2 linked regions of the Drosophila melanogaster genome follow. Changing the gene in region 1 together with any one later gene gives a genetic interaction. Each region holds a gene or a part of one and is shown on either strand. Other genes may lie near its edges.

Evidence for each region. Genes that interact genetically often act in the same process or in processes that back each other up.
Region 2: of Or67d (region 1) and lush, changing one suppresses a phenotype caused by changing the other (phenotypic suppression), as found in Drosophila melanogaster (2 studies listed by BioGRID).

Annotation. Positions count from the first base shown.
Region 1 is NT_037436.4:10,270,135-10,276,177, forward strand, and holds Or67d (odorant receptor 67d), read left to right. Parts: upstream 1-3,069; coding exon 3,070-3,404; intron 3,405-3,525; coding exon 3,526-3,963; intron 3,964-4,035; coding exon 4,036-4,225; intron 4,226-4,277; coding exon 4,278-4,490; downstream 4,491-6,043. UniProt on the Drosophila melanogaster protein: Plays a role in detection and sensitivity to pheromones and signal transduction of the fatty-acid-derived male pheromone 11-cis vaccenyl acetate (cVA).
Region 2 is NT_037436.4:19,602,884-19,609,658, forward strand, and holds lush (lush), read right to left. Parts: upstream 3,208-6,775; 5' UTR 3,179-3,207; intron 3,089-3,178; exon of another isoform or gene 3,073-3,088; intron 2,564-3,072; 5' UTR 2,369-2,563; coding exon 2,147-2,368; intron 2,092-2,146; coding exon 1,941-2,091; intron 1,881-1,940; coding exon 1,792-1,880; 3' UTR 1,515-1,791; downstream 1-1,514. Other genes in the region: CG9368 (uncharacterized protein), read left to right, coding at 1-98; CG9372 (uncharacterized protein), read left to right, coding at 3,698-3,785, 3,950-4,098, 4,158-4,294, 4,363-4,942, 5,120-5,392; Lon protease, read right to left, coding at 5,543-5,785, 5,849-6,038, 6,098-6,775. UniProt on the Drosophila melanogaster protein: Odorant-binding protein required for olfactory behavior and for activity of pheromone-sensitive neurons.

The sequences.
Region 1 (6,043 bases):
TGATGATCTAACGCCATTATTTCCCCGCCAAACGACAGGCAGTTGTTAATGGGGCTTACCACTTAAGCGCGACGGCATAAAATAAACACGCGGTCTGCTCTACCGCCCTCTTCCACGGACACGGCCACGCCCCCCTCCAAGCCACCCACCGCCCAACTGCGGATGTCCTGGCAAATTAATTAACATGACGGCCAGTCACTGGCAGCATATTTCACACTCAAAATAATGGCACAAATATGTGTATTTTTGCAAAATAAAAGTCTAATTTTATGTTTTTCCTTCATAACAATTCAGACAAAAAAAAAAAACAAATTACATATATTATAAAACAATGTGTTTTTATTAAGAGATTTACAAAGGCAATGCAAAGTTGAACATTTTAAGCAGTCATTAAATTTTTAGAGAAAATAAGTGTTAGTATGAACCAGATAATATAACTGAATTTCTCCAAGTGCAGCTTTCTGCTGTTTTTCTTACTTCTACTGTTTTTGTCTTTTGGCGGGTTTTTCTTCGGCTTAATTGTGAGCCATCGTCTTCAGTCCTTCGGGGTGTACAGGAACCCCCAGATAATATTGGGAACTGGGGAGCTGCCCAGCGGCAGTTTAACAATTAAGAAACGTTTAAAGTTCGGTGAATTTGGGGTGCGGCTTTCCTTTGATTACAGGACAGGAGCCACATCTTGAAAGGTGAGTCCTTTGCAGGACATTCGACATACGCGGCACGTTGTCTGCATCCGTTTGACACCTTTTGTCGGGCCCAAAATGGCACAGGAAATGAGCTGGGCCGTAGGTGACTTGTATTCGTTGTTGCCAGTAAATTGGAAATATAAAATATTCGGCTGCTCAAGCTCGATTGTTTGCCTTCTCGAAAGGGTCACATGACGGTCCTGGCAGTTCCTAGAGACACTCTTTAAGCTGACCCCAAGTCGGATGGCTGTTTAACATTCCGAATTTGTGCACTCGCTCAATTTCCTTCCATTCCCCAAATGTAATTACCCAAAAAGGGCGGCTGCGAAATCTTTCTGATTTGACACGAATTTCTCGGCTCGACTCCGGCCGGAATAATTAGTGTCCATTGAAGGGGCGCTACGGGCGTTACGTGCCAAACAGAACGCCCTGCGGCAAGGACGATGGTTCCTTTGGAGGACTGGCGACCTCGCCTTCGTCGTCCTGGCATAATTGCAATTAAAATGTTCGCCGGGAAGTGCAAACACTTGGAGGCAATTGCCGTGCACAGAAATAATAACAGACAGATTGCGCAAATTAAAATATAATTAGAGACAAACAAGACGCTTGTATAGGCGGGGAAGTACTTTAAAAAATGATTAGCGCAACTTGGTCTATAATTTATGAAAAAAACTTATGAATATGGTCAATCACTGGCATTATTTATAATAAGAAGCCAAGAGCTATTTTCTGTTATGAGCCTACTATTAAGTTCATATCAAGAGATTACTTGTGGGTAAACTATACTACTCAGTTTATACAAAATTAACTAATAAACGTTATTTTTTAATAGGGAATTCAATTTTTTTTAAATTTATTTACTAGCAATTATACATGCGCAATATCAAACAAAGAGATCACCAATCTTTCATTGCATCTACTAAAAATTGCAGTGTATACAGTGGCGCCCACTGGCGGGCGGTGGCCTCGGAATGCCACGCACTTTCCACTGGAAGAAGTTTTTTGTTCGGCTGGAAATAAGCGAGCGTGAGACAGCCCACCTTTTATTTTTTTTTCCATTGAGGGTTGATAGAGTGAGGAACAGGGACAGAGTGAGAAAGAGAGAGATAGAGATTGATTATAGAGGAGGGGAGTACGAATACCTGGTATTTCCTAACTAACGAGCAAGTAATTTTGTGGGCCAACTGAGATGCCTGGCAGGGTCTTTAATGTTTCCTTGGCTACTTAAAGCCCCTGTTGTCTTGGCCTTTTGCCCATATTAAGTATACGCCACGATGGCGAGGTAGTAAGTGGGGGTGGCGCTTTCGATTATTTTTCCAGGGGGTAGGCCTGTGAGGGTCGTTTCTTTTTTTTTTGGCCACACCTTCCATTCTCGCAGGGGTGACTAAGCAGGGAATATGTATATTTTTTTTTCTGCGTGCGCCGAGCGTTCGCTTTTACTTTTGTTTGCTCGGATTTTCGATCGAAAAAAAAATATATAGAATAAACGAAAAAATAAAATGAAATAAAAGCGAAATGAGGAAGAACGAAATTTGTTTCGCTGCCGCTTTATGAAATGTCAAAACTTCAAAGCGAACCCAACTTAAATGCAAGAAAATGAGAAAATATTCACTTGAGTGCGTATGCGCTGTCGACACTGGCATTCTCATCCTGTTTTCCTGATTTCGTGCCCATTGTCCTGTCGTCCTTGTTGCTGTTGCTCTGCCTGTTGTTGTTTGCGATGCTGGTGCTGTTTGAACTGTTGTTGATAGCCTTTATTAGTTGTTGGCCGAAAGCTTAGGCGCTTACGCATTTCCCCCCACATTCTGCTTCCTGTCCCGAAATTTTCACGTCAAGACTTGTGCGCTCCGCAAATAGATATAATTTTAAGCTCCCCTAACAGCTCACGTTTCCCTTCTTTTTTTTTCACTCGTAGTCCACTTTTTTCCCGGGCAGCAAATTTTATTAAAAAATTTTATATTAAATCAATTGCGTGGAGATTTTCTCCTTATATTGTGTTTTCTGGTCGGGGTGGCAGATGTGCTCATGCAAAAAGTTGTTTGGCTGGGAGGCAATTTACGATGGGGAAAAACAAAATGCGATTCATTTCTTATTAAATCAATGAAGAACATAAAGTTCCTAGACTTATATCTTTTATTTTCATAAAAGAAATATACCATTGAGAACACTAATGGAAAATATATTTAATGCTGAGTGTAATTGCACTTTATTCAGATATCGACCGCCCTTGAATATTAATTATTTACAATAGATTCTTTAGCTAAATGCCGCAATTATAACGTCAATATTATGACATTAATTGCCAGCTTGGAAGCTCTATAAAAGCAGGATTATTTTGACAATTAAAAAACAGTTCTCCTTTAAGTTGCATAGCTAACAAACAATGTTGAAAATGGCAAAAGTTGAGCCTGTAGAGCGCTATTGTAAAGTCATTCGAATGATTCGCTTTTGCGTGGGATTTTGCGGAAACGATGTGGCAGATCCCAATTTTCGGATGTGGTGGCTCACCTACGCTGTGATGGCAGCCATTGCCTTCTTCTTCGCCTGTACAGGATATACAATTTATGTGGGAGTGGTCATCAATGGAGACCTCACCATAATCCTACAGGCATTGGCCATGGTCGGCTCCGCCGTTCAGGGACTTACTAAACTTTTGGTAACCGCCAATAATGCTTCTCACATGCGAGAAGTTCAGAATACCTACGAGGATATCTATAGGTCAGAGTTTGGTTTTAACAAAAGCAACAACTTGTTCAATTCCAATATATAAATTAATTTTCTATTGACATATTCAACAATATAATTATTTATTTTACAACATTTTCATATTTTTCCGCAGAGAATACGGATCTAAGGGAGATGAATATGCTAAATGCTTGGAGAAGCGAATCCGCATTACATGGACTCTTTTAATCGGCTTCATGCTCGTCTACATTATTCTTTTGGGCCTTGTAATCACCTTTCCCATATTCTACTTGCTGATTCTGCACCAAAAGGTATTGGTCATGCAATTTCTAATACCATTCCTCGATCACACAACAGATGGTGGTCACCTAATACTCACGGCTGCTCATGTGATTTTAATTACATTCGGTGGATTTGGTAACTACGGAGGGGATATGTACCTATTTCTTTTCGTTACCCATGTGCCGTTAATCAAGGACATATTCTGTGTGAAGCTTACGGAATTTAACGAGTTGGTTATGAAAAGGAATGATTTTCCAAAAGTGAGAGCCATGCTTTGCGACCTGTTGGTCTGGCATCAGCTGTATACTAGGTAATTAGCTAAACGAAATAATTAATACTTATATTTATAGTATTTTGTACATATATATTTGCGTTTATGCAGAATGCTTCAAACCACCAAGAAGATCTATTCCATAGTCTTGTTCGTTCAACTTTCCACAACTTGCGTAGGTCTTCTCTGTACCATATCTTGCATCTTTATGAAAGCCTGGCCCGCAGCTCCTCTTTACCTTTTATATGCCGCCATAACTCTCTACACCTTTTGCGGCTTGGGTACTTTAGTAGAAAATTCAGTAAGTAATTTAGTTGTTATTTAAGAAACTGTAATCATTTTATGCCTTTCAGAATGAGGATTTCCTAAGTGTGATCTACACGAATTGTTTGTGGTATGAGCTACCCGTTAAGGAGGAGAAACTTATTATCATGATGCTGGCCAAGGCTCAAAATGAAGTTGTACTCACTGCAGCCGACATGGCGCCTTTGTCGATGAACACAGCTTTGCAATTGACGAAAGGCATATATAGTTTCAGCATGATGTTGATGAACTATTTGGGATAAGAAAACAAAATATTTAATTAAAAGTCGCTCTTATTTTTAAACCATATTAATACAATACACACTTAATGAGCCAACTGAAAAAATGTGTAGATTAAAATATATTCATACATGCTTTGTAAAACTAACATTTATGGATACCATCAAATAGTTCTTTAATGGGTTTTGCATTTATCAGAACTATTACCTATTTTGACTAATTTAGAATTTCCGAGAATAGTCACAAAGTGGCTAAGCAATATTTAAGCCCTTTAACAAATGAGATTTCTTTGATCAAATCTCGTAAATCGCTAGGCAATTTGGCTCCCATTTTTAGCCATAGAAATATATACTATAAAAGTAATCCGCTGAAACTGCTGCTGAGCAAATGAGAGGAGTGAATTTGGATGGGGAGAGCGCTGATTAATTTTTGCTCTTTGTCTAATGAACTTGCCGCAACGGAATTTAATAAACAGACCCGCACTTTATGGGCCCACAAAAAATGATGTCTGCCAGGCCACAGACCATGAAAAATAGTAAAAACAGCAAAAAAAAAAGAGCAAGCATCGAAAGGAAAGGAAAAAACCCAGGCGATCCAAATGAGGGAAAAGTATGAAAAAGCATCGCTGGTAAGTTGTAAAAATTGTCTTTTAATGCCGTGCAAATCCAGCAGATTGCCACGTAGTGCTAATAAAATAAAGTTATGTCCGGGCATAAAGAACAAAAAGTCCGCGCACCGCTAAAACGCAACCGAAATAGTGTGCCATCGTGAAATAAACAAAAAAAAAAAATAAAAACCCACCGAAATCCACCGAAAAATGGCGTTGAAAATTGAGTGCGCGGGCGCAAGACGAAGAAAAAGATGGTTGCTGAGGGGTGTTGGGAGGTCGGTAAACGCATCATTAATCAAATGTCCAAAGCGTAAGCACCGTTATTCATCATTGCTTATGGATAAGGTGCTCCACCGCCCCATCCTCCCTACTCAAAAGTACCCACACCAACCCCAAGAGGAAGCCCCTCAAGAAAATCCGCATGAGTTGCCATATTCGTTGTACTGTTTTCTTGGCAATAGAAAATTTTGTTGGATTTTTTTTTTTGGAAATCTTGAATCAGAAATGGAGTATCTCATAGCTGTTAAAAATTTCCATATTTAAACATCTCTTATTTAAAGATTTTTAAATGATGATTAAACATATAAATACATATTTTCAGCTAGATTAGATTAGAAACAGGATATACCATTTACTATAAATATTATATTAAATTTTTTTCTGAACCTAAATCCTTTTCGTTTTATAAATTTTAAGTTCACAACATTTTATAATTTACGAACTTATTTTCGAATGTGTAGTTGATTCCGTAGTCGTTGTAATACAAAAAGTTTGCTTCCCAAAAATGACAATCACATTTTCGTATAATTTCTTTATATTTTCCATACCCCTGTGGCAAGCGACTCTCACATGGCCGAGGCTCAGGAAAATCCACAAAACGTGAACTCTAGTCTAGAGCTCCCCTACTATACTCGATTTTACTGTTCATACCCCACCCTAATCACTTTCTCAGCCACCCTAATGGCG
Region 2 (6,775 bases), 9.3 Mb from region 1:
TAGTCCTGACCAAGAAGAAGCCCGCCGGCGAAGGCAAGAAAAAGAAGGGAGTCAGCATGGCCGATGACGTTCAAGCCGGCGTTCGACTGATGGACTAAGCTAGCTATAATGGACAATGGTTGTCCATGCAATGGGAAAACATAATCAAAATTACCACCAACCCCTTCCTGAACAATGAACTCTTACTCAGCAATCGTCTACTGTCATCTTACCACCTTAATGGATCCTGTCCAGAAGCATTTTCTTCGCTCAAACGTCTTAGGCACAAACCAAATTCTACGTCTTCCCCTTGAAGACCACCAAGTTTATGGTGTAAGCCCTGCAAAGGAATCTTAAAATCGCATAGAACAGGGCTGATGGAAAAGCTTTAGCTCTCTACTATATTGTTTGATATACCCAAATGTGATCCCAGATCGTAATGTTAACGAAAACTCAACTCGAAGCACAAGCAACTCTTCTAGGCTAGTTATGAAAGGAGAAAACCCCTATATACGACATTTGTATACACTCTCCAGCTCTCAGACATTATTTGGTCCCCACGCACAACACAATCAACGGCATTACACAATCCCAGTGGAATCGACGAGGGTTTGCCCCGAATCTCCACCTAATTATAACTACGATATATCAAATTATATACCTAACTATATGTGTATGTGTATGACTATAGTTGTCTACGGAACCACCAACCTATTTAGATGTGTGTGTGTAGCAGTTAAAAGTATTTCCAAACCAAACCAAAGCAGCTAACAACAAACGGTTCAATATACAAGCATTAATGTGTACTGATTTTATATACAATGTACTAACTACTATATATACGTGTGAATGTCATTAGACTCTTAGTTGTTTACACAGGTTTCCTCGAACATCCTCATCAAATTCATCAACTAATCCGCACACACGCTCTAATCGGATATATTTTTGTGAGACCCTTTTTGGAGAGATCTACATACATATATAAAGACACTACTCCTATACCGAAACCGAAATTTAAGATATCGATTACTCTCGATTACAGAGAACTTTGTACGCAGATTTGCAAGGCAACCATTTTGTATAAGATTTGCATTTATTTTGTAACCTCTTGAATGCAAAGATCTCCCTAAGTTTGAATGCATTGCTAAGCCAATTGGATGTTTATCGATTACAAAATGTATAAGTATGCGTTATGCAAACATAAAACCGTTGTATTTAGTTAATAATATCAGCAATAAACTATAACATGTTTGAAATCAATGCGGCGTGTTTATATTTTGGGGTGCCATTTTAATCTACAAAAAGGTTTTCAAATATATGATTAAAGATTGTTTTCAAAAAAAAAGATTTGCTTATCGAATTCAGTCGATTGCGGGTATATACATAATCGAAAAATTAATTTAAACAAAATGTTCTTTGTTACTTTGACAATATATAATTTCAGTTTTGATTCAATCAGAATTGGACGACTTTGTCATATAGGCATACGAATAGTCGGAAAATAGAGTTTCGAATGAAATAATATAACACAAACTACAGTTTCGTCGTTTTTAATCATAAATTGATGTTATTCTGTATACATAAGTTGTCTTTAATATATAAATTTTGGTTTCAATTTAATCAACATCATATTACTGCAAGGGTATATAAGTATATACTTCGGCTTTTTGAAGCTAACTTCCTTTCTTGTCATAATTTATGTTTTACGAATTCCAATTCTATTTGATGATTTCAACATAGATAATAAAGCAATCATCCAAGGATTGGTCATTAAAGGATGAACCAGTATGAATTTAGTTTCCAGAAACATTTTTAAGGCCACATGAACTGCCCATCGGCGTTTTCAGAGAAGCACTTGGCCGTCTGGTAGACCCTCTCGCAAGATTCCTTAAATTGTTTATCTGCAAAGATATACCTTACATATATTTACAGCTATGAAAGGTAAGTGTGGGTGTAGTTACGCGTATCCCGACAAGCTTCAACGGATTTCCTGGACATCTCCATCATTTCCGGGGGAACCAGATGCGGAAGTTGGGCCAGCGCCTTGGGAGCGTTGAACTCCCCCTTTTTGTTCACAGTGCCCGCCATCAAAGACACACACTTTGTGTAGCACTAAAAGGATAAAGGATTCAAACACTGGTGCCTGCAAAATGAAAGCGGCATTCACCATAAGATCCTGCGATGGCGGAAAGTTGAAATCACCCACGCGAAGCCGATCGAGATCTTCTGTTTTGAGCTTAAACTTCGGCGCACAGCCACTGCGGATCATGTCTAGCGAGGTCAAGAACTGCTCCATCGTCATGGCAACTGCAGGATCGGGTAGCAGGAGTACCAGCACTTGCAGGACGATCGCGAAAACAGCGGAAGAGCGTCGTTTCCAATGCTTCATGGTGGCGGAAAGCTAAATACGTTGAGTAACCATGTCGTAGGAGAGTTTTATAGGTGATCATGGTGGCAGGGAAAGGTGGTAATTAAATCGCAGGGATTAATAATTAAGTAACACACTCGCACGCCATTTGAGTTGACTAGGAAGTTGTATTTGTACCATTTGAATGACACGACAATAGTCGAATTTTAGAGATACCTGTTAAAAAATAATAAATAATAATTTTTAAACCAATTTTCAGGATAAAGTGGGTAAGCGATGAGTTTATAGCACCGCATATATGTATATTCATATGTATATGTGATCATATAATATTCCCAGAAATTCAAATCCAGTGCTCTACCTATAAAAATTGTTAAATAATAAAAATATGGTCTTCGCAATAATATTAAAATAATATATTTTAAATATTTTTTAAGGATATTTTGACTAATTATTTGTTTGACGCTTTCTATTTTAAACTTATTTTTTAGTACACTTATTCGGTATTCGTCTTATTACATAATAACATAATCTGCCAACTGAAGTCGCCCCATTCCATTTTCTTCGCCTCCATCATTCAATACTATTACTTAAATTATGTTAAAATGTTAAAGGGTTGGGTTTTAAATTAAGACATTAAAATCATTTCTGCAGTGACAATCAAACCGTGCATCGCAAATGTTTTCTTCGATTCCGGTTGTGCCGTGCAATTGATTTATTATTACTACTTTGATGTGCAAGCGTCAAAAGGCAATTAAATAGAGAATATAACTGAGTATAAAATCTTCCTTAGTATTTCGGAGATGATACTTCTATGGAATCAAAACCCACCGAACCGGATCATTTGCGATGCACATCACGTTCGCCTCGGAGAATCCAAACTGATCATCATGGGCACTACTCGCCCCTGGCAACATGTTGCCAAGCTGTTGCCAGCAACATTGAGATAATACACCAAATTGGGTCTAAGCTCAGAGGCATTAAAGGGGACGTCATTTCAGTGGCTCGCTTTCCGCCCTACAGATAAGCCAAGTGCTCGGATTAACTCAAGTATTATATAATAGTTACTATATCGCTAGCGGTTCCAATCCCATTAAGCTTTCGCCTGGGAACTGAGCATGGAGTAAGACGCTTTAATAGCCAGGAAAACCCCATAGTGTCGACGCATCGAACAGGTTCAACAGCAGTATCCAAGGCAAGACGTATGTAAATTGAGCCGATCTGAGCTCAGCTCCATATCGGAGAAGTAGCTTTAGCTGGTTGGAGAACTGTCAAAACAGAACTGATTCAGCGGGCAACGGAAGCGACACGCGATTAAAATTCCCACTGCACTCGCGAAAATAACTCAAAATGAAGGCATTTCTTTGGGCATTGGTGATTTTACTGGGCTATATCCCGCAGAGTACAATCGCCAAGACTGTATCCACTGATTTTTTAGGTGAGTCACGTTTTTATACCAACATAAAAAATTGTGCAGGTGCATTTAATAGCAAAGTTATTTATCAAAGTTAAAACTCATTTCACCCAAATACTTGATATTTCTAAGACAAATTCCAAGAATCTAATGTAAACCAAACCTAAAGATTTTCGTCTACCACCCAGATCTTCTCGACTTCAGCGATAATGATGAGTTTCAATGGGGGGAGTCGGAGAATCAGGTATACGAAAATCGCACTGGGGAAAACCGCGTCGTAAGTTTCCTGTCCCAACATCGCCTAAACAAGCGACAGGCTCCCACCTCGCAATTGCTGGTGAGTTTATGTCTTATGCATACATACCAGTATCAGGTAACTACAAATGATAACCGCAGGAGAACAAGGATTATGGAGCATGTAGCACTCCATTGGGTGAATCCGGCCGATGTCGCCACATTATCTACTGTCGCATGCCAGAACTTAAGAATGATGTCTGGCGTCTGGTCTCCCAGCTTTGCATCATTGAGAAAAGGTATATGAATTTTTCTTCTTAATGGCTTGGCATCCTTGTATTATATGTACAAATAATTTGTCTTTCAGCTCCATAGGCATTTGCTGCACTGACCAGTCGACGAGCAACCGATTTAGTCCGCAAGTCGTGACCAGTGCGGACGGTGATGAGCCGCGCATCGTTAATAAGCCGGAGCAGCGAGGTTGTGGGATCACGTCCAGGCAGTTTCCCCGCCTCACCGGTGGACGGCCAGCCGAGCCAGACGAGTGGCCTTGGATGGCGGCCCTGCTGCAGGAGGGTCTGCCCTTCGTTTGGTGCGGTGGTGTCCTGATCACCGACCGTCATGTCCTAACTGCCGCTCACTGCATCTACAAGAAGAACAAGGAGGACATCTTCGTGCGTCTGGGCGAGTACAACACGCATATGCTGAATGAGACGAGGGCGAGGGATTTCCGGATTGCCAACATGGTGCTCCATATCGATTATAATCCACAGAACTACGACAATGATATTGCAATTGTCAGAATCGACAGGGCGACTATATTCAACACCTACATCTGGCCAGTTTGCATGCCGCCCGTGAACGAAGATTGGTCGGATAGAAACGCCATTGTCACCGGTTGGGGCACCCAAAAGTTTGGCGGTCCTCATTCTAACATCCTCATGGAGGTGGGTCGCATATTAAAGTATATTTCATTTTATATACAGCGTTTTTATTTTGTTCTTAAGCTTTCAATTTCTTATATTGATCTAAACAAATTGGTTTCAGCAATTTAGTAACTCAAGCTGAACATAACAAAGAAAGCTTTTTTAAATTAAGAAAATATGTATTACTCCTATCTTCAGGTTAACCTGCCGGTTTGGAAGCAGTCCGATTGCAGGTCGTCATTTGTACAGCACGTTCCGGACACTGCCATGTGCGCTGGATTTCCGGAAGGAGGTCAGGACTCCTGTCAAGGCGATAGCGGAGGTCCTCTGTTGGTACAACTTCCCAACCAACGCTGGGTCACGATCGGCATCGTGTCCTGGGGCGTCGGCTGCGGACAGCGGGGTCGCCCGGGTATCTACACTCGCGTGGATCGCTACCTGGACTGGATTTTGGCTAATGCAGATGTCTAGGATATACGCAGTACTGTCTTCAGTTCGATGGTACATTCAATTTACTTGGCATTAGAATTAACAAATGCTATGGTCTAAATAAACTAATTAACCTGATAACGATAGATATTTATAAAACCTATCAACACCCGCAACACCCCCAAGCTAAATCTAAGAATAAGGCCACGTCTCCGATTTGGCAGCGGCCGCACTGGAAAGCTTCTGCAGCGGCTCCTGCTCTTCAACATTGTTGGTTGTCGTTTCGGTTACATCAGTAAACGCTATCTTGTAGACATCCTCGTAGGTGGTGGCAAAGTGAACCTCCAGACCATCTGTAATGTACGTGGGCAACTCCTCGAAGTCTTTCTTGTTATCCACAGGCAGAATAAGACAATTCACTCCACTACGACGTGCCTGAATGAGGGTGATTTATTTATATTTACACACAAATAGATCATTTATTTCTGTTTTACTTACTGCAATCGTCTTTTCCTTAATACCACCCACGGGTAGCACTTTTCCCTTCAGGGATACTTCGCCCGTCATAGCGATATCTTGGCGCACCGGCTTTCCAGTGGCCAACGATACGAGAGCTGTAATAATGGTGATGCCCGCACTGGGGCCATCTTTCGGTGTGGCACCTTCAGGAACATGGAGGTGAATGTGCCTGTAAGGGCCACATATATAGATTAACGAAAATAAGAAAACGCAAATTAAAAAACTTACTCTTGCTCTAAGAACAGATTATTGGGTTCCAGCGAATATAAAAAGTTGCGCGCCACCGTTAAGGCTATTTGGGCCGACTCCTTCATGACATCTCCCAAATTTCCGGTGATGTGCAGCGATCCGGCGACAGTGTTCGGATCTGTTTTTGCCCCCTGGCGAATGTGACGCCTTGAGGTTTCGATGTAAAGCGATGAACCACCCATGGCGGTCCAGGCCAGACCCATGACTACACCCACCGGTGTGGTTGCGTACATGCGATCTGAGCTAAAGATTTGTTTGCCCAGGAATGTGGTCAGATTATCAGCGTTAACCGGAAAGTGCTCGCCTTCTTTTTTGACCACTCGGAAGGCCACCTTGCGAATAACTTTCTCGATATGCTTTTGCAGGTTTCGCACCCCGGATTCCCGGCAATAACTGCGAATCAGCATGTTTAGGGCATCCTCGGAAATGTTGATATGCTTGTCCGTTAATCCACAGTCCTTCATCGCTTGTGGCATCAGATACTGACGAGCGATGGCGATCTTCTCTTCGGCAACATACCCAGACATCTCAATCAATTCCATGCGATCTCTTAAAGGCTCGGGAATAGTGTCGATCACATTAGCTGTGCAGATGAAGAGCACTCGCGAGAGGTCTACCGGCACATCGAGGTAGTGGTCCAGGAAATTCGCATTCTGC